Rhinolophus ferrumequinum: one gene and its partner. The protein of the gene in region 2 purifies or fractionates together with the protein of the main gene of each other region. This does not show direct contact. Links are inferred from orthologs where the notes say so. Each region holds a gene or a part of one and is shown on either strand. Other genes may lie near its edges. The genes, in order: GNG2 and GNB5.

The links.
Region 1: the proteins of GNB5 (region 2) and GNG2 purify together in Homo sapiens (affinity purification with western blotting; 4 studies listed by BioGRID and IntAct, with this or other methods). This does not show direct contact. The link is inferred for Rhinolophus ferrumequinum from reciprocal best matches to the Homo sapiens genes GNB5 and GNG2.

Annotation. Positions count from the first base shown.
Region 1 is NC_046289.1:40,616,945-40,629,725, forward strand, and holds the start of GNG2 (guanine nucleotide-binding protein G(I)/G(S)/G(O) subunit gamma-2), read right to left. Parts: upstream 5,650-12,781; 5' UTR 5,624-5,649; coding exon 5,541-5,623; intron 2,520-5,540; exon of another isoform or gene 2,434-2,519; intron 1-2,433. UniProt on the Homo sapiens protein: Guanine nucleotide-binding proteins (G proteins) are involved as a modulator or transducer in various transmembrane signaling systems.
Region 2 is NC_046289.1:55,793,048-55,805,635, forward strand, and holds the start of GNB5 (guanine nucleotide-binding protein subunit beta-5), read left to right. Parts: upstream 1-6,962; 5' UTR 6,963-7,098; coding exon 7,099-7,210; intron 7,211-12,588. UniProt on the Homo sapiens protein: Enhances GTPase-activating protein (GAP) activity of regulator of G protein signaling (RGS) proteins, such as RGS7 and RGS9, hence involved in the termination of the signaling initiated by the G protein coupled receptors (GPCRs) by accelerating the GTP hydrolysis on the G-alpha subunits, thereby promoting their inactivation.

The DNA of each region.
Region 1 (12,781 bases), about 15 Mb from region 2:
AATGCCTGGTACTCTTTCTTTACCTTTTGCCTTGCTTGGAGAAGCGAATTCTGCTGAAGCTGCTAGAGAATTCTGCGGTTTATAGACACTCATTTTCAGAAACCTTGAAAGGTTGCTTAGTGAGAGGCCTCAGCATCCTCAGACCTTTTCCTCCCTTCAGCTAATGTTAGACAGGTCATGCAGATAGGAACTGCATCCACCCTGGGGGGTAGATAGGAATGGGATGAACCCAAACGGTCAGTGGGACCGACCCATTATAACATCTATTTAAAATAGCTGGAAAAGAAACAACAAACAACCCTTTATTTAAGCCAGCTTACTTGCTGGGTCTGTCATTCAGGTGAATCCTTATTAAGCAACGGAGCCTGATTCATTTTACAGAGGTCTAATTAATACTCTGATATTACAGAGTCCATGAAATTCCTAGGATTTGTTCCTAAAAATCCTAATACCAGTAATCCCACTTGTTTGTGAAATGGTTTTTATTCCTAAGAGTTTTACATATACACTAATGGCAGGACAGAATCTCTAATAAAAGCCTTTAAAGATTACTAAAGTTCTGAGAACACGGAGAGCGTCCATGATTTATATGCGACTATGGTTTAGTTCACACCAGGCATTGTGACGGTACAAAGACTGGAAAAAGGCAAACACCCAACAGGGACTTCAGAGACTTGGTATTTCCATGAAGGGTTTTGCTGCCACGACAAAAACCTTAGGATTCTAATTACACAAGAGGATCCATCATTTGTTCTCTTCATTGTTTGCAAAGAACACCAAAAGACTCAGTCTTAAAAACTTTCAGTCTTCCTTACATAACAGATCATTCTTCCTAAACATCTGGGTGGCCTTATTTAATCTAACTTGGCAATTAAACAGAAATCTTGCCAGCCCTCTGTGGCTACTCTCCTTTCAAATCTCAGTATAATCAAGAGATTTTGGGGTTTGTCTACTTAATGTGCCAGGCCATGCTAGGAGCCAAGGACAGAACAGGGAACCAGATACAACCCGGTTTTCAAGGAGTGTATACTCTAAAGGTAAAGACAGACCCATAGATAAGCAATTTCAACATGGTGTCTTGTGTGCTAAGCTAGGAGAAAGCCCAGGTATAAAGGAAACATCTAGGAGGGGCACCTAACCTTTTTTGTTTTTTGTTTTTTTGTTCCCCAGAGAGAAATAAAAAAGAAAAAAAAAAGCGTTTATAGTACTAATGTGAAATATAGTGATCTGTTAGGTTAAGTAAGAATTTCTCTCCAAGTAGAATGGTGGCCGCTAAGGACTGGGGGCGAGGGAAATGGGGAAATGTTGGTCAAAGGGTACAAACTTCATTTATAAGATGAGTAAGTTTTGGGAATCTAATGTACAACGTGGTGACTATAGTTAACAATAGTGTATTAAACACTTGAAAGCTGCTGAGAGGGTACATCTTAAATGTTCTACACACACACACACACACACACACACAAAATGGTAATTAGGTAAGATGACGGATGTGTTAACTAACCTTATTGTGGTTATTTTGCAAGATAGCATGCATTAAATCATCACATTGTTCACCTTAAAGCTACACAATGTTATATGCTAATTATATCTCAATAAAGCTGGAGGGAAAAAAAGAATCTGCTGCATAAAGAGTCCCCTGGGAAAACAAAATAAACACTACTATGAACTTGCTTTGTAATAACTGTGTAAGGGCCATTGTGGTTCAATCTTGAATAATAAAACAGTGAAGTACAAAAAAATAATGATTTCTCTCAGTTAACAAATGCAAAGCACTGAGGGAGTGCTCAGTGTACAGTCTATGGTTTGTTCAAGTCATAGACCTAAAGGTAAACCAAATGTTTCAAGTGACAAGGAAAGGAACTTAATTTATACATGTGACAGAAGCTGACAACAGAAGCTGAAAACAAAGATACCAACAGTTCTCTCCAGCTTTGGACATGAATTCTTCTTTGATCTCTGGCCACATGATCGAGACAAACTTAAAGGATGTGGAATCAGAATTTGAGCCAATGACATAAAGAATCAGGCACGACTGATTTTGGAGGTTTAATGTTATTTACTGTCATTCATCCAGTGGAAGGTGGGTCTTAATTGAACTAGAGACCCTGACTTACAAAAGAAAATCTGAACTTGAAGAATTTTAATACTATCAAATTGGGAAAAGGGATTAGAGAAAAGAAGTATGGTGATAGTAATTCAAAGTGACATCAGCTCCAGATAAGCACTAGACATTTGATCCCAGACAAAATTATTTACCATGTTGCAGGATTGACTATGCACTCAAATGGAATTATCTGACCAGATAGGACTGCTAAAGGTCAGGGAGGACAAAAACTGAGAAGGGCGGCACAGCCCAGGAAGCAGGGAAGACTCTTCTCCTAATTAATAGCCCAAGAAAAGGAATCAACTGAAGCGTGTTTGGCAACTTGCCTCAAGATAGTCGCATCTGCCTCAGCGGGCCGCCTCTTTCTGACTGGTGAAAGGTGCCCACACACTGAGTTTTCATTGATCAGGACCTAGTGAAAAGTTATTTTATATGAATGAGGCTGAAAATAGAGAAATACAGATATCTGGCACCTCTATCCAAGTATTTTCTCAAAAAGATTGTATTATGGTGACTTTAATATACCTGGATACTATAAATGTTAGTCTATTTTTTATTGACGTTTAAAAAGGAGTTAGTAAAGAATAACAAAGATAATCGTTCAAAAAATTAGACATCTCAGACAGGGAACCATGTCAGTGGTCATGTGAGGGCTGTCAGGGCGTGCGGGAACCCCAACCTTTGGTCTACATTTCTGCCCACTGCATCCCCCGCCCCTGAAAATAATTAGTCCAAAACTCATTCAAAAGTCAGAGATAAGCCTTCTGCCTTTTTTCTTAGATATGAATCTACTTTTACCTATCATTTCTCTGACTTGTTTGGATGGGAAGGGATATTTTAAAAAGTGAAGATCTGAAATCCACTATTTTGCTTTGTTCTTCATGACTTTCTCCAAATAAACTTAAATGCACCTCGGTGAAGCCTGGCATTAGAAGCAAACATAAAGTCAAAATGATGACTTCGGGGGATTTGGAAGACAGCAAAACAATGCAGTGTAACTCATCATGGCCAACAACAGATTTGAGAGCTCACGAAATACTGCAGATCACTTTTTAAAAAATGGACATTTTATGTTCTCAGTATCCCCACACCTTTCTTCTTCTCAAATCCTTATTCAGCTTAAAAAGACAAAACAAAAACACAACTGATCACTTCCTTGGAGCCTTTTCCTTTATGGCCCTACTCTGTCTTCACCACTCCAAGTACATTTAAGACTTCAATGTCAAGTCTTACATAAGGGAATTTGAGCAGCTGGCCCCAAAGAAGGGAGCATCTTCTGATGTTCAGAGGAGCAGACTCCGAGCACTTCCTGTCTTTGGAACATTGTAATTACTTACAATGGCCATTCCATGGGTTGGGAGGAAGTACAACAAGGAGGTACAGAATCCATCCAGTTCTAAAGTCTTACTACCTGGTTTCAGTTGGATCTTCTGCCGTACACTAACTGGTCAACTTACTTTAATACTCAGCCTCAGTTTTGTCAACTGTAAAATGGGAATATTAAAGTAGCTAGTTCTTAGGGTTGCTGTGAGAATGAAGTAAGATGATTCTTGTACAGTGCCAGAATAGTGCCCCAACATAGTACATGCTTAACAACTGCTGCTACTATCAGGATGATGAACACCAGTGAAGAGGACAGGCAGCATCACGAGAAGTAGATAAGAAAGAGCATTACATATTTTAAAAGCTCAGCAGGGTCAGTGTTTACCTTTAATTATTTACACTTTTGGTAGATCCTGACACTGAGAAATATTTTACTCAAAACTCTAGTCTGTATCTTAGGGGTTGCCTAACAATTTAAGATGAATCTGATCTATGGACTTTCTCCTTTATAGCAATTTGGGCCATCAGAGGCTGCTTTTACCTCAAAGTCCCTCTGTTGAACTGCTGAGCAGAACTTTGCTCTCACATTTACTTACCTCTTTCCTCTTCCGTCTCTCCTCTGACCGGTAATACTTTCAAATATCAAAGTCCGTTGCTGAAGTAATACCCACCGTATGTAGGTCTGATCTTCCTAAATGTCTTACTGTGTTTCCCTGAAAATAAGACTTAGCCGGACAATCAGCTCTAATGCATCTTTTGGAGCAAAAATTGACATAGTACCCGGTATTATATTACATTATATTATGTTATATTATATTATATGACCCAGTCTTATATCATAGTAAAATAAGACCAGGTCTTATATAATTTTTGTTCCAAAAGACACATTAGAGCTGATTGTCTAGCTAGGTCTTATTTTCGGGGAAACACGGTAGATTTCAAAATTACATCTCCTTATGCCATCCTTCTTAATTGATTAATTATCTCAACTCATAGGTATTAATAAGCATGATGATGTACTACTAACTCAACTGAAATTACTCATAGTGACAGCTGATATTTAAATAGCACTTCATAATTTAATACAGGTCTTCTTGCTGCATTACACCATTTTGATTTCATAGCTGTTCTACGATGGCAAAACAGGTGCTATCATTCCTATTTTCAGATTAGGAAACTGGGGTTCACATGGATGAACTGGCTTGCTCTAGTCCACACAGCTGTTAAGTGACCCTACCTTAGGAACTCACAACTTCTGATTTGGTCTGTGAAGCCAATCAGAACAGAAAGCTAGTTGTTTCAAGTTATTCATGCTAAGATATGAATGACCAACAGCTTAAACCTATCAAGAGACATGCTTTTAAAAAGAGAAATCTGAAAAGGCTAATGAATTTATAATCATACAATAAAGATGGGGCTGGGGGACTTAGGTATCTTTGAGCAGAGAATCTTTCGGATTTTTGTTGCCCCTTCCCCCTGGGCTGCATGGCCAGCCTTCAGCTGAGATGTCTCAGGGGGTCTGCTGAGGCTGAGAGAAGAATGAACCTATGCCCCTAGGGAATCTGCGGCCCTTTCCTGTCACAGCTTGGTTTCTACTCCACTTTTATCTTAAATTCAAATACATTTTACATTTAATTCTATGTTTACTTTAATATAAAAAATATTTAAAACTAGAGTGAAATTTTACCATCTTAATCCTGGTACATGGTAGCATTCTCTGTTTAAAGAGGTGCTGTGAGTCCATTTAGAGTCCCACAGACAAACGTCTTTTCATTTAAATCTAAGTCATATATACAGAGGGTGCCAAGAAAAATGTATACACATTTTAAGAGAGGAAAAAACTGTATTAAAATTACACCGATGGTAACCACTTTGAGCACCTCTTATAATTGCAGAAGTTAAACGCGACTTGTATTCATCTTTTGTTATCGGTATATATTATTACAATTTTAATAGTTTTTTCCTTTCTTAAAATGTGTATACATTTTTTGACACCCTCTATATCATATACATATATATATATGATCTAAGTCATATATATATATATGATTATATATGATTTCATAGCTTCAAAAAAAGTTGTGAATCACTAAATCAACCCTCTCTTTACCTCCACAATTCAGGTTCCAATTTTCTGGAGGCTTGATGATCTTTATGTAATTCTCCAAGACCAAGAGGCAACTCTCTCCACATAGCTCTGCTTCACTCTGGGTACCCTCTTGATGGTTTTCAACAGGAAATGCGACACCCTGGCTTACGGTTGTTGCAATAGAAAGAAACTTTACACAGGTTCCAACCATTTCCTATTTGATGCCTATTATTTTCTCTGCTTAGTTATTATGTGTAAATACCGGTATTTTGCGAAAAGTAAAACCGCCTGTACAACGGGAAACCAACAGAGAAAGTTTTTGGCAGAAAGAACTGTCCTGCTCACAGTTGTATGTTGGCCTGCTGAAGGCCGCGCTCCTGGGGCCAGCTCTGAGTACCCTGTACCTCTGGGGGAAGCGTCTGCAGGGCTGCGCGGCCCGCACGCACACTTCCCCTTCTCCACCCCACCACAGCCTTGGAAATTAGCAGTTGCAATCTTTGACTGGATGCCATTGAGCCATCCCACCCGCGGCTGCTCAGGAAGCACATACCAACGAACAGAATGAAAGGGGCTTTTATAAACACAAGTCGGTTATTTCTTAAACAGACTCCCCACATAAAGGCTTTTTTGTTTCTTACTCTTTAGGAAAAACTGAGCTCCTTCTGAACAGTCTTTGGAGAAGGAACAGAACTGAAGATGGGAGGAAGCTCAGTGGGGGAGGCTACACAGCTAGGGACAAAGGAGGGGCAGTGGGGAGTGTCAGAGACTTTCTGAGGTAAAAGCTCCAGTGTTTGGTGGCTGACGGAGTGGGGTGAAGGTGGTATTGGCAGGGCTAAGAGGGGTTGGCTGGACAGCCCTTGGGGTCTTCTCCCCCAAGGGATCCATCCAGGCAAAGAACATGTAGGAGAGAGCCTAGTATTCTGGTCTCCAGAAATATTTCAGGGAACTAGGTGTTCTCCGAATAGACTTAATTTCTTGTCTTCTCCTTCTCCTTTTCTTTTTATCTAAAAAACTACATCTTATATTTTACAAGATTCACAAGCAATTTTCTTCCCATCATACTATCCTGGTTTGTTTTCTTTTCCTAAAGAAGCAAAATCTCCTAAACTATTTCAGACGTCTCAGAATCTGAGTAGTATATAGGAAAGACTAGTTTACAATTTGACTTACTTGGCTGTAACATGATAAAACACACATACACACACACACACACACACACACACACACACAGAGAGAGAGAGAGAGAGAGAGAGAAAAGATACATAGTAAAGTTTCAATTTATTCTTCATTAATTAAACATTTAATAAAAACTGATCATAATCTAACTGAATCCAGGTGGTCCGCTTATAAAGAAAATGCCAAGGAAATTAGTACGGTTTTAGAGATTTTGGATGCATTAAGAAAGGAAGAGAAAATGATGCTGCTTATCGTAATTCTGTATTAACTTTGTTAGAACAAAATCTCTACAGCAGGCAGAAGTCAGCTGAAGTTAATGCTTATGATTTGTAAATGAACTTTTTCATGATTTGAAAGATCCTTCCAAGTTTAATTTATCGTATCTCATTATATTGCTTGAAAAGAACAAAAACTCAGTTGCCTTAAGAGAACCCACATCTCAGCACCTCTGGGAATGGCACTTATCTCTGCTGCTTTGCTGCCCTGGCCAGAGGTATAACGGCATTATGAAGCAAGCACTAGTTTAATATCCTGTACACAACCCATACTCAGGGACTTAATTACCTGCCTGTGTCCTAAGAAAGAACAGAGTCCATGTGGGTGTCAAATAAGGCATTCTATAGTTGTGGCCCCCTTATCAGCAATAAGAAGTTGTCCCTTTAAAACATGTCTGAATCAAAGGGAGGTTTGGTAGGAATTATGGAAATGGAAATCTCGGTTCCCACACATTAGTCTGTTTATATGTTTGTATCAGTGTCTTGAGCATTCCGCCTCTACTGGAATCCCATCTTTCAAGGAGGTGAACTCCTTTCAGAGGCTATTAATAATAGAAACACTTCTTAAGTACTTACCATGAGGCAGGCACAGTTCTATGCACTTTCCTTAAATTAATTCATTGAATTGTCACAACACTATGTGGTGGGTACTAATATTATCCCCCATATTACATTTTGGGAAATGGATATACAGAGAGGTTAAGAAGCTTACCCAAGGTCACACAGCCAGTAGGTGACAGAGCTGGGCTCTGAACACTCACAATCTGGTTCCAGAGCCTGTACTTTTTATCACTATACCACACAACCTTTCAGGACTATAGATCTAAAAGGACCTCAGAAATTATTTCATCTTAATTCTCTCATTCTATAGGAAAAAGAATGAGAATCAATGGAAGTTAGGTGACTTGCCTTGGGACATATAGCTTGCTAGTCCTTGGAAAATCCAGAGCAGAACCAAGGTCACTATAATTCATGTATAAATACTGTTCTCTTTTCTCCCTTCCCTCTCTCCACACCCAGAATAATTCAGGTTTTTTCTAAGGAGCTCAGTACTCTTTTCACTATTCCATGTTGCCTCCTATATTACCATGGCCCCAACGACGGCAATTTGTCAGGCCCATGTACATTTACGATGTCTTAAATGATTAAGAAAGATCAATATTGGCAGCAACACAGACAAAATTCAGGGTTGGGGTATTCTAGTCATCTTCCGTTGTCTATAAATGATGAAAGGGAAGAAGGACTAAGAATCATACAAAGGATGCTACTCTAAGAGCTCAAAATCCTTGGACCTTCCCATTTACCGGTTCCATCCAAAGTAAGTCTTCCCTATTGCATCTCATGGCAGGTACCCTGTTTCCATCCTTCAGGGTACTTCTGTATCACAACTTGTAATTGTATATATAATTGTGTGTGTGTTTACAGGTAGACTGCAAGCTCCATGAGGGGCCATATCTGTTTTATTTGCCTAGAACCTGGTACACAATTAATTGAGTAGGTACTCAATTAATATTTGTTAAATGAAGTTACACCAAAGAGTCAGCAACACAATGCTAAAAGATTATCTCAGACTGCTCCCCATTTTGCTTAATAAACATCTATTCTTCCGTGCTCATTACCTGGGCCATATCCATTACTAGAGCAGAATACGTACAAACAGCCAAAGTTTCAATAAGCAGAGGTCTAGTTGGCTTACAAATCTACCTTTTATTCAGGGTCCAGGAACCGCTAGGGTGGGGCTAGCTATAATGTTACACCTCAATTGTCAAGCAGAAGACCACTCTAAAACATCTAAATTATGGAATATATTGGGAGGAAGTGGATTACTTTTAAGTTCTGAGAATAATTCAAAGTAGGTATGCAGAGTTTGCTGCAAGACACTTCTTTGGGGACCTCCTTGATAACCTAGAAAAAATAATTTGTGTTTGGTATGTTCACATATGGCATACATATTTATGTGTGAAGAGCTATTTCAAAAGACCTTAAGAATGTTCAAAACCAAATTATTCTTTTAATATTTTAAACATTTCTCTCACAATCTTGTTTACACATTATTGCATTATAATCACTTGCATTATTATCCCCCAAGAAAAGGTCTGTTGAGTAAAATTAAATGTCAGTGCAGTCACTATGTAAAACAAAACGAACTGTGAATTAATGGAATTTAAATGAACGAAGTTTTCACTCTAGCTGAATTATAAACAGTTTTCTAAATTTTATATCCTTGATGATGATGTATAAGAAAAAACAATAACACTTGGGCTTTTCACTCTCTCACAATGAAGAAAACAGATGCAAGTAAGTAGCATTAACTCTGTGCCTAAGTGACCCATCTGCTTTAGTGTCTATTTTATAGCTGGATCCAAGGAAAATCTTCTTTTTGTGCTATAGATGTGAGTGTATTCATTTACTTATTTATTTTGAGAGGCATAAATGATCGAAAAGAGAGCCAGCAAAACACAAGGTAAGCGCTCTCTCCTGGGGACCGTGCCAGAGATGAACACGTACCTTTTTATTTGTAGAAAATACCTGTGTGTAAGTTGGGATGGATAGATATTTTTAAAATTTGGATACAACCCTGAGCCCCATCTTGTCAAGATGAAACTGCAAAACGAGCTCTCTTTTTTAAATGAAGGAAATAAAGTCAAATTTATATTTCAAAAAATGCTCTCTGTTGGGACTTACGTCTACATAAGAACAACTGAGAAGCAGAAGTAGCTGGAAACTGCTCTGTGCATTGCAGAGACAGTGCAGGTCTGCGCCAATGTGCACGACCACATCTTGGCACCACAGCCAAATTTTCTGAGGTCCAAACCTTGGCAGGCATCTTTGCCACTGTCAAATAAAAATGCTTTGGGGAACTCTTCTATCCCCTTGATCCCACTGTTTTGCCCCATCACTCGGGCTCATTACCCTGTAGCGTTAGTCTTCCCTTTTATGGAGAGGGAGTTGAGGTTGTTTGTTAGAGTTTAAAATAATATGTGTCTGATGATTGATGAGGACATAATCAAAAATTCAGATTTGCTTTTATGATTAAAATAATCATGGGTAAATAGCATGATTATTTAGATTTTTCTTTTAAGCCTGATGTTTACTTTCAGGGAACAAAAAAACTCCCTTGATGAATCCTAAATACGTTTAATCAGAGGAGATTCTGATTTAAAAGTATACCATTTGCTGGATGTTAAGTAATAAAAAAGACATGTTTCTAATAAATTCAGCACCCAGTTTATGTTCTGGCTCTAATCTCCTAGAGGATGTTGCATATCGCAGGGAGATTCAGAGGACGTTGCAGGATGAAGGAAGCCAGTCCCATCTGACAAATGGGATGCAATTTTCTTTTCTTTCCTACTCAAGCTCAGCAAGTGCATCTATGGAAAATTGCTCCTTCTTTATTAATCTTCCCAGCAGTGGCTGGTTTCACTGGGAACTGAGATAATGATGACTGGGTATTTTTACTCCAGAGCATTTGAAGACTATCTTTACTTTGATGAAAGAAATTTCAGAAATGAGACATCATTTTGAAAGGGTGAGGCTATTAGCCGGAGATGCATTCACATGCGTAAGGGCTACCAGAGGTTTAGGGGAAAATCCATTAGGCCATGTCTTTCCTGGGCTTCACTTCTCCCTCTCAAGCCACGGTCTTACTTTTAGCAGGCTTTGCCTACCCAGTACTTAAGCCAGCCCTGAACAAGCCTGGCAGTGTATTTAAAATCAGATCCAGCAATGGGGGAGTTCTGAAATAGATTTTGCTTCTTAAGCCATATAGCTAGGGAGCTCAGAACACCTGGCACCCAGGTAATGTACCCTGCATTCTGCCCACTGGCCAGGTCTTCTGCCAGGCCTTAACCCCCACTGCCCAGGACTTTCTCCCTGAATCTTACATGCTGTTAGATGGGAGGTAGTTTCAAAGCTGCCAGATGGTCCTGGAACCCTGACACTATTCACTACATGACGTCCCCTGTCCATCGCATTGCATCCCTGGGATACCTACAGCCATCTGGGTGTGGTCCATGGCAGCCGGCACTGTCCCGACCACACCCAGCTAGGTCTCCTTGCGCTTCCCTGGGCTTCCTCACTTCTCACTGGCCACAGATGAAGATGCACCAGCTACAGACCCTGATCTCCCTGGAGACTGTTTAATCTGATTAATTTCCATTTTCTTTTCCAGAATTATTTTGGTGATGAAATTTTAGCATTTTAAGATGTTATAACATTGGCATCCAAGAGACTGAAATATGAAATAACAGCGCAGAATAGGTCCTTGTGGGAAGTCAATGTGCAAATTTCCCACCATATTCTGCCAACGGTGCACAATTCTCAACTACTCCATTTATCTCCAGGGGGCAAATAATGGATACGTTCCAGCACCCACTCAATTTGTATTTTCTTCTGGCAAAAATAATAATAGATTTAAAATATGGCTTTTCATCTAAAATTAGCCCTTCTTTAGACAATATTCGCTACCAGTCAACACAAAGAAATTTCATACAGAAATAAAATGATTATGTAGATAGAATGATGCATAAATTTCATTAATTAAATCAATTGTTCTTTAATCATTTGGCACCTATCTATATAGTATGTTGAACAATAGCGGACAAAGAAATAAAGAGAAAGAGGTCCTGTTCTCAAGAAATTTCCCTTTGAGGTGGACTTTTATAATCTTTTAGTCCCACTATATCTTTTGTATTTCTAATGCAAATGTATCTGTACCAGAAAATGACAATAATTATAGGTGTATCTTACTATAAATATTGTCATCACCTATCACCTACTGCCACACTTCCAAGACAATGAAAAAGCCCAGATGTGGTATTCTGCAGTGAGTTTCTGCCTGAGAAAAGATTACAACATCTCTTTGCAAAGTTCTAAACACGTGACCCTGAATTCATATATGTAGGTCAAAATGATTATTTCCTGCTAAATATGTGCTCCTTTCAAAGAACTAGTTTAGAGCAATGTTATGCTACTTGTTTTTTTTCAAATAGCATTTTGTCACAAACAATTTTAGAAAAATATCAATTTTCTATTGTGGGCAAATTATTTTAAGGGCTTAAAATTCATAGAGGAAGGTTGTTTTATAAAATAAAACTACACGTTAACTCTGATTGGAGGACAGCTGCCAGCAAGGATTGGGGTTTGTTTGAAAGGTGGTGTGAGCCCGACCCGACCCCATATTGACAAGTCTACTGCAGAAGGGAACTGGTGGCTCCTAATGTATCACATTTATCCATTTTCCCCTAATTGTCCATTTATCCCGAGTTCATTTTGTTTACCTGCTGCCTTTCTAAATCCCTCCCATATCCTGACAGCTTAGGTGTCTTTTGTGAATTCATTTATGCTCTGTTGTATTCATTGTATTTGAGGCAGTAGCAGTTTAAAAGGAACAAAACACTATATTATCAGGCAGTCATAATTTTACACTCAAATGCATCCTTTTCCTTCCTAACAGAGCAGAGGCACAATATCATAAAACATGAATTTCTCAACCCAAAATTGCCATTTTTATCCACAGCTAGGTAATTGTCTTTACAAGGCTCTTTTCCTTTAAGGATGATGCCCTTATTCTAAGAGAAGAACAAAGGAGATGAGAGGGAGTATAGGGAACAGATAATTGAACTGGTTGGTATATTTGAGCTCTAAACATGGCCAAAGTTTCTTAACAGCTGAGGCAAAACAGTGATGGGGTTACACAGTTTTCTGACAGGGTGAAGGCAAAATAAACTCATAAGTAGAAAGAAATGTCCCTGCAGTTAAACCCAAGGGAAAATTCATGAAGTGACAGGCTCTTTGGGTTTCCTGATGGCA
Region 2 (12,588 bases):
AAGTATTTATGTATGTATATATATTTAAAACGAATATAATGTTAAAGCTTAATTGTTACATCTATCATCTGCTCTGAAAGAACATTTTTTTAAATCTTGTCTGCCAACATATTTGCCATCATTTTTCATTACTATTTTCCATACAATAACTTTTTAAAACACAAAGCTTAAAAAAGCAACCTAAATGATTTTCTCTATCTTATCAGCATTCAAATATGTTTTACATTTTTCTCAGAAAAGTACTTGAAGAATTGTATCAGGTTCCTCCTTTTGAGAAGTCACTGTTTCCCAAGTTTTATGGGAACTGACTATTCTTTGGCCTCCACACCCTCCACTCCTCCCTTTCAGAGCATAAAACATCATTTAATAAGCCTCCTTGCCTGTGGCCGGTGGGCCAAGCGCCCTTCTGCAGCACCGCATGAATCCCAACTGGCAATTCTGTTTCTGAAAGCCACAGGCAATCGGCGTGCTTCTGTAACACAGACGTTTATCTTAGCAGTGGAAATAATATATGATCACCCTAGTAGTATGTAATAATGTCTTTTCACATTATAAATGATTTAATTTAGTTCATTTAGATACACTGTATATGAAGAAATGAAAAGTAGACCTTGTAATAGTTTAATCAATAAAATGAATTCCCGTATGAATTGGGTCAGATTCTTTTAATTGCTAGGAGATTATATTTTTCTTAAGTGCACAAGTTTATGCCTTTCTCTATGGGTCATACTTACAGATGGAATCTTTATAGAGTCATTATATCTCTTAAAACGTATATAAGAATTTTTAGAGAGGAGTAAATATGCCCTAAGTCCTAGCTCAGGCGGTGTCTCCGTGGCTGCCAGAATGAGAGGATACTTTCAGAGAGTCGGCTGGGTTTCTGATCTGCACCACGGCCTTCTCCATGCTCCTTCCAGACTTCCCCTATGCCCTGAGGAGCCCATCACCCTTACTTTTCGGCTACCATAGCTCCAGGTTCTCGCCCTGGGTGAGCTTACCTGGCCAGCACTTACCCTGGGCTGTAAATCAGTCATGTTCCCCATTTCCCCCACTGGCCTGTGAGATTCTGGAGAGCAGGTCCACATCTCACTCATCCCTGCCTTCATCTCGATGGATGTTGGCCAGGTGGAGAGAAGTGCAGGAGCCCGGTACTATTGAGGGGGCAGGGTTTGGGAAGAGGAGGCGGGGGGGGGGGGGGGGGGAGTGGGGGGGGGTTGTTGGTCAGCATTGGGAAGGAGTGGATCTTGTTTGGGGACAAGACAAGGGGACCTGCAGAAGCTAAGAAACGTATGCATGGAGAAGGGGTAGTGGGGGTTCTCTCTACATGGGGTAGTGGGGGTTACAGTGTTGATCAGTGCTACAAAGCTGAAGGTGGGCACGGTGGCCAACATTAAAGAGGTGCGGGTGAATTGAGGACAGTGAGAAGGTGGGAGGTGCCAATAACCTCCAGTCACAGGTGAACAGAACATCAGGATTGCTCGGTGGAGCAGGGTGTGGATTCACAGGCAAACCTCTGAACTCTGCCTCCCACTGAGGGCAGAGAATTGAGCTCAAGAAACTGGCCCACAGGGGTTCTGAGGGCACCTGGCAGCACAGATGGGCAGAAGGTTCAAGGGGTAAGTGACGCAAAGCGCAGTGAGTGCCCCAGCAGTGAACACGGAGCTGCAGGGTGGCAGGGATGAAGCAGCCGCGCTGTAATGCCCAGATAAGGAGATTAGACAGGATGCAATCAGTCCCTTTCCCACCGTCACCTTCCAACTGCAGCTCTAACTTCTCGCCTTTCTGCTGATCAGTTCCAAGTGTTGAGTCTGTGGAAGGTATGGATGTGTTAACATTAAATTAATACTCAGGCTTTCTGAAATGCCCAGGTAAGTGTTCAGATGTGTACATACCAAGGAAGAAGCTGTTTTGTTTTTAAAATATGTTTAGTATTGGCATTAGGGAATAAGTTAAGCATCTTGAAATCATTTAATCAGTTTTAAAAATTGATCCAGGTAACACTTTACATGTCAACATAAGCCTCCAAGTGCAGTTTACTGACTTGAAAGAGGTTTTTGACGTAAATATTATATAGTCATAATAAGTTTGGGAGATAAAGCCACACTGTCATGTGTATCAGTGGTTTATTCTTTTTTATTGCACGAACATATCACAATGTATCTAGTCTACTGTTGGTAAACATTTGGGTTTTTCCAGTTTAGAGCTATTATGAATAAAGCTGCTATGACATTCGTTTTTTGTTTTGTTTTTGTTTTTTGTTTGTTTGTTTTTTACCAATTTATACCCCTCCAGCAAGGAACGAGGTCCAGTTCTTCACATCCTCGCCCACACTTCAGATTGTTAGTCTTTTCCATTTTAGGTATACTGGTGGGTAAGTAGTGATACCACAGTGTGATTTTAATTTGCTTTTCTTTGATGACTAATGATGTTGAGCACCTTTTTATGTTTATTGACTACAAGAATATCTGTATTTGTGAAGTGTCTCAATAAGTCTTTTACCCATTTAAAAATAATTTTTATTGAGATATAATACACATAAAACTCACCATTTTAAAGCTTACATTTCAGTGGTTTTTAGTATATTCACAAGGATGTGAATTATCTAATTCCAGAGCATTTCCATAACCCCAAAAAAGAAACCCCATACCCATTAAGCAGTGTTCCCAACCCCACACCCCATTTCCCCCTGCCCTCCCCCTCCCAACCTCTAATCTACTCTCTGTCTCTGTGGATTTGCCTATCCTGGACATTTCATATAAATGGAAACATAACTTGTAGCCTTTTGTGTCTAGCTTATTTCACTTAACATAATGTTTTCAGGGTTCATCCATATTGTAACATATACATATACATATGTTGTAACAACATTGTAACAAGAACTTCATTCTTTTTTTATTGCCAAATAACATTCTACTGTATGGATGTAACACGTTTTATTTATCTGTTCATCAGTTGATGGACATTTAAATTGTTTCCACTTTTTGGCTTAAATACTGCTACAAACATTTGTGTATAAGTTTTATCTTGGGTATATGCCTAGATAAACCCAAGTGGATTTGCTGGGTCATATGGTAACAACTCTGTTTACTGCCAAACTGTTTTCCACAGCTGCTGCACCGTTTTACATTCCCACCAGCAAAGTTCTTTTGCTCATTTTTAATTGGGTTAATGAAGCATTATTTTAAAAGTAAAAACTGGAGATACTCTATATATCTAAAAATAGGAGATTTGTTTAATAAATTATGATACTCCATAGTATAGAATAATACTAAAGTTATGACCAAAAGAAAAAAAAACAGCTCTATAAGTGCTAACAGAATAAGGTAGGAGAAAAAAACAAGTCGCTAACAGCCCCAATTATATAATTAACAAAGCTGTATCTATGGTGTCAGAAAATATGGAAGAATATGAACCAAACTAAATAAGGAGAGTAGATGCGGAACAGGTAACGGGGACTTTTCCCTTTTGACTTTCTATATTTGGCATTGACTCTTTTAAAAATAAATATGGGGTGGTGGGTTTTTTGGTAATTTTTAACCATATATTTAGGTGAAACATTTCAAATAAATTTTGTGTTTGGTGCAGGGTAAGCAGAAGGTTTGAGAAGTTCTACAAACTTCTGCAGAGCAGCTTTGTGTAAAAACTTATTAAACTGAGGCATTTTTATCTTTTTCTTGTCAAAATGCTTATTGAAGTATTTGCTCTGTAAAAAGTTCCCTCGTCATAAAGAGGATTATTGACAATAAGTACAATAGAATGGTCTAAAATGAAATTTTGCTCATGATATAAATATTAAATGGAAAATATCTGGATGAAAAGATATAAGAGTATACATGAACAGTGTAACTGCAATGGTCCTAAAAATCTTGCATGTGCCAAAATGTGAAAAGGAGTCTCTGTGGGCAGGGATCATAGGTGATTCTTTTCTTCCTTATACCTTTTTCATTTTTCCAGACTATTTACCATGACCATAACATTTATGGTTGTAAAATGCTATAATCTTTCAAATTTGGTTTGTAGCTTGCCCATGTGTAACCAACCAGATCTAAAATGTGATATGATTCAAGGTTGATATGACTCAAAACTTGTGGTCTCCATTAAAAAATGGTGTTTTCCAAGAATATGCAATGACATGTGAAGAAGAAAACACTGTTAAGCAAAATACTAAAGTTCAAAATTGTATATGGCATATAATTCCAATTTTTTAAAAAACATATACATATATGCCTATAAAGATGTGAGAAGAAGACACAAAATGCTAACAGAGGTCAATTATTTGTTAGTATAGGGCATGTGGGTGATTAATTTTCCTTCTTTGTGTCTTTCTGTTTCTAATCATTTATAATGAAAACATGTACAGCTCTTATAATTTGAAAAAAAATTTTAATTCAGTCTGGGAATGAAAACATTGTCTCTATCCAGATTTGGAATATTAGCAATTTTTTCAGCTTCTCTTTCTCTTGATCTCCTACAACTCCCAGCCATCCTTCTGTTCCTTCCCCACTGGTTCCCTCAGTTCCTCTCGCCTTCTATTCCTGCAGCTGCTACTCTGTCCAGAGCTCATTTCCTCTTCCACACAATGTGATAATAATCTCTTAACCTAGCTGATTTTCCTGCTGTACAGTCTGTCTCTGACCTACTTCTAGAAGCACAAATGCTGGAATAATCCACTTAAATGACGTGGCTCCCTTGCTAAAAAACCCATGGCTCACTTTCCTAATGCGATTACTTGGAGTCTTCAGCACAACCTTGTGACTGGCTGCCTGGGCAGGCTCGGGCAGTGGGAGGCAACATTACTGGACCTCTACCACGGGCCAGGCTCTAGTGGACCAGCTCTTTTGTGTTCTTGAACTCAGTTGTGACAAAACAGAGCAGCTTGGTGGTGCTGGCTCCACAGTAGGGGTTGTGGAGTCCCACTGCATACAGAGTCAGGCTCCACCGCTGACCTTGAACTCATTGAATCCCTTGGACAGCATTTCCTTAGCTGTCACACAGATGTCCTGCCTCCCTCTCAGGGTGGTTGTGAGAGGTCAGAGCTGATCGCTTCTGCTCTCTCACCTACAAGGGACTGTCCTCTATTCCTTTGTTACCTAGCGTTCTCAAGAACTATGCCAGCTGCCCCTTCGCTGGAGGAGTTCACCCAATTCATGATCTTCACATTCTCCCTGCAGCCCCACTGTGACCTCAGCATGACAGATATTCCCCTCAGCGGAATACCTGCCTTACAAATACATCCTGCCTTACAAATACATCCTTGAAAATGTGGCTCTGTTGAAATATACAAATCAGTGCCCCCAAATATCTTTATACTCAGGAAGTCATTTCTTTAAACCTTGACGTGGCCCACTCTTTGAAACACCTATTCAATTGGCACGTCTACGATGGCCACTCCCTTCCACCTTCACCTCCTCGTCTTCCATCTCCAGCAATGGCACCTGACCCCTCAGCCTCCCGAACAGAAACCTAGGAGATACCATAGACATCTCCCTCTCGTCTCCACATGTCTCCGAGTCCAGCTCCTTCTCCTTCCTAAGTGTGGTCCACATCCATCCCACACCAATGCTTAGTTCAGGCCTTCCTTGCTTCTTGCCTGGAAGAAGTAGCCATAGGCTCCTCTCTGCTCTTTCCGCGTCTCCCGCTCCACCCCTCCCCTCCTTCCTGCTGCAGCTGCTACTGCTGCTGCTGCTATTACAGCCACTCACAGGGCAGCATAACATCTCTGGAGCACTCACTATATTCCGGCCTTGAGCCAAGTGCTTCATGCACTGTCTCTTAGAATTCCCCTGACAATCCTATGAAATAGATTTTTAAGATCCTCACTTGATAGATTAGCAAACGAAGATTCAGAGAGTTTGAGTAACTTGCCTAAACAGTGCGGCCAGGATCTGGCCAGCCAGAGACAGCATCCTCAGCCACAAGATGGTTTTGCTTTCTCCAGGTTACCCTTCCTTCAGTGGCCTGGGCCTGTCAACTTCCGGGTGTTAGGCAGGGACCCTGGGTCTGTGGCTGTCAAATGTTTACCAAGTAAGTGGGATGCTGCATTCCGGGCAGGGAACCAACACATTTACTCAGCCTCATGGCTTTGGTTGGGGTCAGGTTCCACCATTTTCTGACTCTTGTCTTTACTCCAAAATTTCACCCTGATGAGAGGAGTTTTTTGTTTTTTAATTATACTGTTCATTACAAAGATGCTTTCTGTTTTGAAGCCCCACAGGTTAACACTGTGCTGCAAAAATCCAGGTGTCCTTGTCTGCAAGCTGCCAAAACAACTGGTTAACTGTAAGTTCAGAAAACCTATTGTCTGACGCTTTCTTGCTGATTAAATAAATGAGTTGGTGTTGACCCAGCATGTTGTAATAAATCAAAGTTTACAAATTAACTGCATATACTTTATCCTACATGTAGAGGTCTGAGCAACTACCATGATAACAGGAAGACGAACTTTAAAAAAGCTGTTTCTGTTGGTTTTTCTCACACACTTACATCCCTTTTTTCTCTCTCTTTTCCAGCTTCATCTTGGGTAAAAGATGTGTGATCAGACGTTTCTAGTTAATGTATTTGGCTCCTGTGACAAATGTTTCAAGCAAAGGGCTCTGAGACCAGTTTTCAAGAAATCTCAACAGCTCAGCTACTGTTCAATATGTGCAGAAATTGTAAGTGCCACTTTTTAAAAATTCAAGTGGTTGCCTGTCTTAAAATGATGTCTCATGTGAGGGTCCAGTGACGGATAAGTTGTTATAGAAGCAGTTTACACACACAAACGTTTTCAGCGCAGCTGGACTAGGTGAGGCAGTATAGCATGGGTGGGGGGTTAGGGTGTGAACTCTGATCTCTGACTTCCTGGGTTCAAATCCTAGTTCTATTCCCCCGTGTGCCAAGCGGGGGGCGCCGAGGGGGCGCTGTGCCCGCAGGCGACGCCCGCGGGGAGGTGGGGTCGGCCCAGCAGCCGGGCTCGCAGCCACCCGCGTCAGCGCCGGAGGGCGGGGCCGCGCGCGGAGGAGACCGGCTGGAGCTGCGCCTGTGGCCGCCCGGCCTCCTCCCGCAGCTCACCCGCATCCCGGCTCTCGGCTTCCTTCCCTGCCGCGTCCCCGCGCGAAGATGGCCACGGACGGGCTGCATGAGAACGAGACGTTGGCGTCGCTGAAGAGCGAGGCCGAGAGCCTCAAGGGCAAACTGGAGGAGGAGCGGGCCAAACTGCACGACGTGGAGCGTGAGTGCGGGCCGGGGCGGGGGCTGCGCGCGGGGAGGCGGGCCGAGGAGACGAGACCGGGCTCCCGGGATCTGGGCTGCGGGCGGCCTGGGCCCGGGGCGGGATGCGGGCCTCGGGTGTCCCGGCTCCAGGTGAGGCGCTGGGAGTAGCCCGAGCACCCAGGCGCGCCCGTGTGGGGCAGGAGCTGGGCGGCCCTCGCAGGCTCCCGGCACCTTACAGAGCCGCCTCTGGGCCGGGGCACCTGATGGTAGCAGCCCCTGGACGCTGGCCTCCCAAGGAAGGATCGGGGACCAGTTACGGTCATCACCTGCCTGCAAGATGCAAACTGATCGAATTCTTGCCATTCCCAGGCGGAGCCGGTGGAGGGGGGTGTCAGTGGTGGCAAGCACAGCGAGCCCTTGTGGGCGCGGCCTAGGGTAAACTGTCTTGTTTTTTCATTATTTGGCTTTCTCCATCACTGTTGTGTCTTTTCTCAGTTTTGCTTTTACATGGAACCAGACACTGATTTTAGAGCTCGTTATTCCAATCTGCCCACTCTCCTTGGAGGTGGAGAGCCGGAGGGGGGAAGCAGAGGAGCTTACCACATCCAACCATTTAGTTCACTTAAGGTTGTTTGAAAAGCTTTTGGATGGATGCCGTATGGTTAGCATCAGAGACTAATAGCAGTCTTACACAAACGTCATTATTGACCACGACCATAATTCAGAACAGGCTCTCTGATACTTTTTTTTTTTATGAGTGAGCCATTAAATAGCCAGGTGAAATGACTCTTGGCAGGATCAGCTCCCCTGTTCTGTGTCCAGTGGTTCATCCTCAGCAGAGATTGGGCTGGGGCCAAGCTTGGGGAAGTGGTCTTATCTGCTTACGTTTCAGCTCTAAGGGTGGCAGCTCCCCTTTGCTGAGCAAGGCCTCCCGTTGGTGCCCTCAGACACACCTTTTCATGGTGCTCCTGCCGTTCCTATTTGGTACCACCCCCCCTTTAAATTCTATTTGGAAAAGAAAAATGGGGTTCATGCTAGGTCCTTTAGTACCTGATTCCTTTCTTTGAAAATCACTTGATAGAAGCAGGTGACCTGATTCTAAAGTATGCTGTGCTTTCGAAGGGGCCTCTTTTAAATAGGAAGCACACTAAGCCCCTATGTCATTTAGAAACATGTCCAGCTACAAAAAACCATAAACCCCTAATAAAATAGTTAAGCAAATTGGGAGTTATTTTTCGTACATAACAAGAACAAGGGTAGGCGTCACCGCTTTGGTTCAGCTGCCTTCAGGGACCCACACTTCTGTCTGTCTTCTCCACCACCCTGAGAGCAGTGGCATTTGCCCCACAATTATCATATCACTGCCACAGCTCTAAACATCACCCCTCTATCCAGGGCAGAAAGAAGGTGGAATGTGGGTACCAACCTCTGTTTCTCCCTTTTATCAGGAAAGCAGTTTCCCCCTAAACCTCATTTCTCCCCAACAGGTTTTTGCTTACACTTCATTGACCAGAACTAGGTCACGTGGCTACTGCAAGGGGAGGCTGGAAAAGGGAGGACTGAGCTGAGCATATTGTCATCCCCAAGCAGAGCTGGGTTTCTGTTATCAGGGGAGAAGCAAGGAATGGAGATTGGGAGGCATAGGACAGAGTCTTCCCCATTTCCCTTTGCAAATTCCTACACTCTGCAGATGGTAACGATGATGCAATGAGTGTGCTTTTAGTGCCTCTGGGGTAGGTCTGATTTCTCCATTTTACAGATGAGGAAACTGAGGCACAGAGGTCACAGGGCTTTCGGAAAGACCCCAGATAATAAGTGGTGGGATCAGGATTCCAGCGCAAGCAGTCAGTACTCCAACCCAACCTCACTTCAGCTTCATGCCTGGTCCAGAGGGGCTCTCCAGAGGGACACTCAGTAGTGCCCACTGGGATACTTTTCAGCCTTTTCTGTGCATTTGCATTCTGTGCATTTGCAAATTGCTTTAAGGCAGAGAAATAGTCAAGATGCAGTTTTTTCAACAAGGAGTCCCTGTCCTGCCAAGAATGCAGTGCCCTCAAAGGTCACGGCCAACTTTGGACTCACAGTAAGAGGATCTATCCTCACCTGCGTATGAGTCAGAATTTTTGAGTTGAAAAGACCAGAAGTCATGTGGTCATGTTCCCGTCTATGCCCCCTGAAGCTTCCAGACCACTCGCTACTCCTACATAAAACCCTGGCTCTTCTGAGGCTCCTGTCATTTGGCTGCCATCCCTCTTCTCCTCCCCCACGAGCTGTCTTCTGACCTCCCAGCCAGGCCCCCTCATTTCTTAAGGACGTTAGCACATGGCTTGAGCCTTCCTTTTGACCCTAAGCCCTGGTGTCTTCAGGGTTCACAGGGGTGACCCTCCAAACACACTGGCCCCTCACTCTGTGACAGCCCCCTAGGATCTTGTTAGCACTCAGAACTGCTCCTCGTCTGACCACAGTCTCTCCCTTTGGAGATCTCCGTGATCTAGCATCATTTGGCTCTTCTCTCTTCCAATCTCTCAGCTTCTTTCTATACATGTTCACATTTTGGTGGTGTTATATAGGTGGCTCTGTGACCCCTACCCCAGTTGGGGAAACCTCTTTAGATCATAAGCTTAAAGTGACCAAGTTATCCCAGTTTGCCTGGGACTCAGTAGTAAAGCAGATATTCCTGCATCCTGGAAAACACTTCAGTTCTGGGCAAACCGGGAAAGTTGGTCAGCCTTCTGTTAGCTCTGACTTGCCCAAATTCTTGGCTTAAAAAATAATCAACACGGGGCCAGCCCGGTGGCTCAGGCGGTTGGAGCTCCGTGCTCCTAACTCCAAAGCCTGCTGGTTCGATTCCCACATGGGCCAGTGGGCTCTCAACCACAAGGTTGCCGGTTCAACTCCTTGAATCCCGCAAGGGATGGTGGGCAGCGCCCCTGCAACTAACAACTGCATCTGGACCTGGAGCTGAGCTGCGCCATCTACAACTACGATTGAAAGAACAACAACATTGACTTGGAAAAAGGCCTGGAAGTACACACTGTTCCCCAATAAAGTCCTGTTCCCCTTCCCCAATAAAAAATCTTTAAAAAAAAAAAATCAACACAACAAAATTGTACAACATGAACTTGGAGGAAAAGTGAACTTTCCCCAATTCCAGACCCTCGTTTCTTCACCTTCCATCCCTTTGACCCTCAGACAGCAGCCATTCTGTGGGGCCCTCATGCCCAAGTCAGACCCTCCTCAGCCAATATTACATACAGGAAGTGGCTTATGTGGGCAGCCTAAAGGGAAGCCAGCCTCCATCAAACTCCACAGCCCTAGGACCCATGTCCCCGTCTCTGCCTTTCCCTTATTCCTGCAGAGCTTCCTGCCCTGGATGTTTCTCCTTATCCCTTCAGCTTGCCTTCTGCCATTTGTAAGTGCTTCCTTGCTTGAGTCTAAGGCATTTTGGAATCATGAGGTTAAATTTTGTATTAGTTTCCTATTGCTGTTGTACACATTTCCACAAACATAGTGGGTTAAAGTAACCTAAATTTGTTCGGTTACAGTTCTGGGGGTCAGAAGTCTAAAATGGGCCGCCAGGCTGCATTCCTCCTGGGGCGCTAGGGGAGAATCCATTCCTTGTCTTTTCAGCTTCTAAAGACCATCTGCATTCCTTGGCTTGTGGCCCCACATCACTCCAACCTGGTTTCTGTCATCGTATCTCCTTCTTTGACCCCGACCCCCCCTTTTTTTTAATTTATTGGGGTGACAATTGTTAGTAAAGTTACATAGATTTCAGGTGTACAGGTCTGTAATACATCATCTATAAATCACATTGTGTGTTCACCACCCAGAGTCAGTTCTCCTTCACCATATATTTGATCCCCCTTACCCTCATGTCCCACCCCCCGCCCCCTTTACCCTCTGGTAACCACTAAACTATTGTCTGTGTCTATGAGTTTTTGTTTCTCATTTGTTCGTCTTGTTCTTTTGTTGTTTTTGGTTTATATACCACATATCAGTGAAATCATATGGTTCTCTGCTTTTTCTGTCTGACTTATTTTGCTTAGCATTATACTCTCAAGATCCATCCATGTTGTCACAAATATTCCTGTATCATCTTTTCTTAACGCCGAATAGTATTCCATTGTGTATATATACCACAACTTCTTTATCCATTCATCTATCAAAGGACATTTTGGTTGTTTCCATGTCTTGGCCCCCGTAAACAAAGCTGCAATGAACATTGGAGCACACGTGTCTTTATGTGTAGATGTTTTCAGATTTTTTGGGTAGATACCCAGGAGAGGGATTGCTGGGTCATATGGTAATTCTATTCGTAATTTTTTGAGGAACCTCCACACTTCCATAACGGCTGCACCAGTCTGCATTCCCACCAATAGTGTATGAGGGTTCCGTTTTCTCCACAGCCTCCCAACACTTGTTACTATTTGTCTTGTTGATGATAAGCATTCTAACTGGGGTGAGGTGATATTTCATTGTGGTTTTTATTTGCATTTCTCTGATGATTAGTGATGTTGAGCATTTTTTCATATGTCTGTTTGCCATTCTTAAGTCCTCTTTGGAGAAATGTCTCTTCAGGTCCTCTGCCCATTTTTCAATTGGGTTGTTTGTTTTTTTGTTGTTGAGTTTCATGAGTTCCTTGTATATTTTGGATATTAGCCCTTTACCCGATCCCCCCTTTTATAAGGATCCTGTGATTCCATTGGGCTCACCTGTAGAATCCAAAATAATTTTTCCATACCAAGATCCTTAATCACATCTGCAAGCTCCCTTTTACCCCATAAGGTCACATATTCACAGGTTCCAGGGATTAGGATGTGAACATCTTTGGAGGGCCTGTCACACAACCCTTTAAACTAGAGGGGTCACCTGCTTCATCCTCAGTCTTCAGGCACAAAAAGTTTTCTTCTCCTCCCAATAACCCCACCCCCTGTCCTTATGGATGAGAAAGCAGCTGAGGTCTAGGGAAGGTTGAGGAGATTTCCCTAAGGTAATGCAGCTGCTCTAAGAGGCAAAGGGGAGTAGGTGCCAGGGTTCAGACTCCTAGTACAGCTTTCCTTCTCACCATACCAGGCCATCTTTCAGAAAGTTGAGATTTACTAAAAAGGAAAAAAAAAAGTAAATCCACGTGTATATGTGAAAAGGTGTCAATATTTTGGGAAAAAAACAGCAAAATGCTGGACAGTGTATATAACATGATCTCATTAGCTTAAACAAGAGATGCTTGCGTATGCATTAAGTTTGTGGCAGGGTACATGAGAAACTGATCTCTAGAGAGGGCCCCCAGGGAGTGGGAGAAGTAGAGGTTCTTTTCCCTTTATACCCATGTGTGCATTTACTGCTTTTATAATAAAGAATGAGTACTGGAATGGGAGTCAAGATCAAGACAAAAAG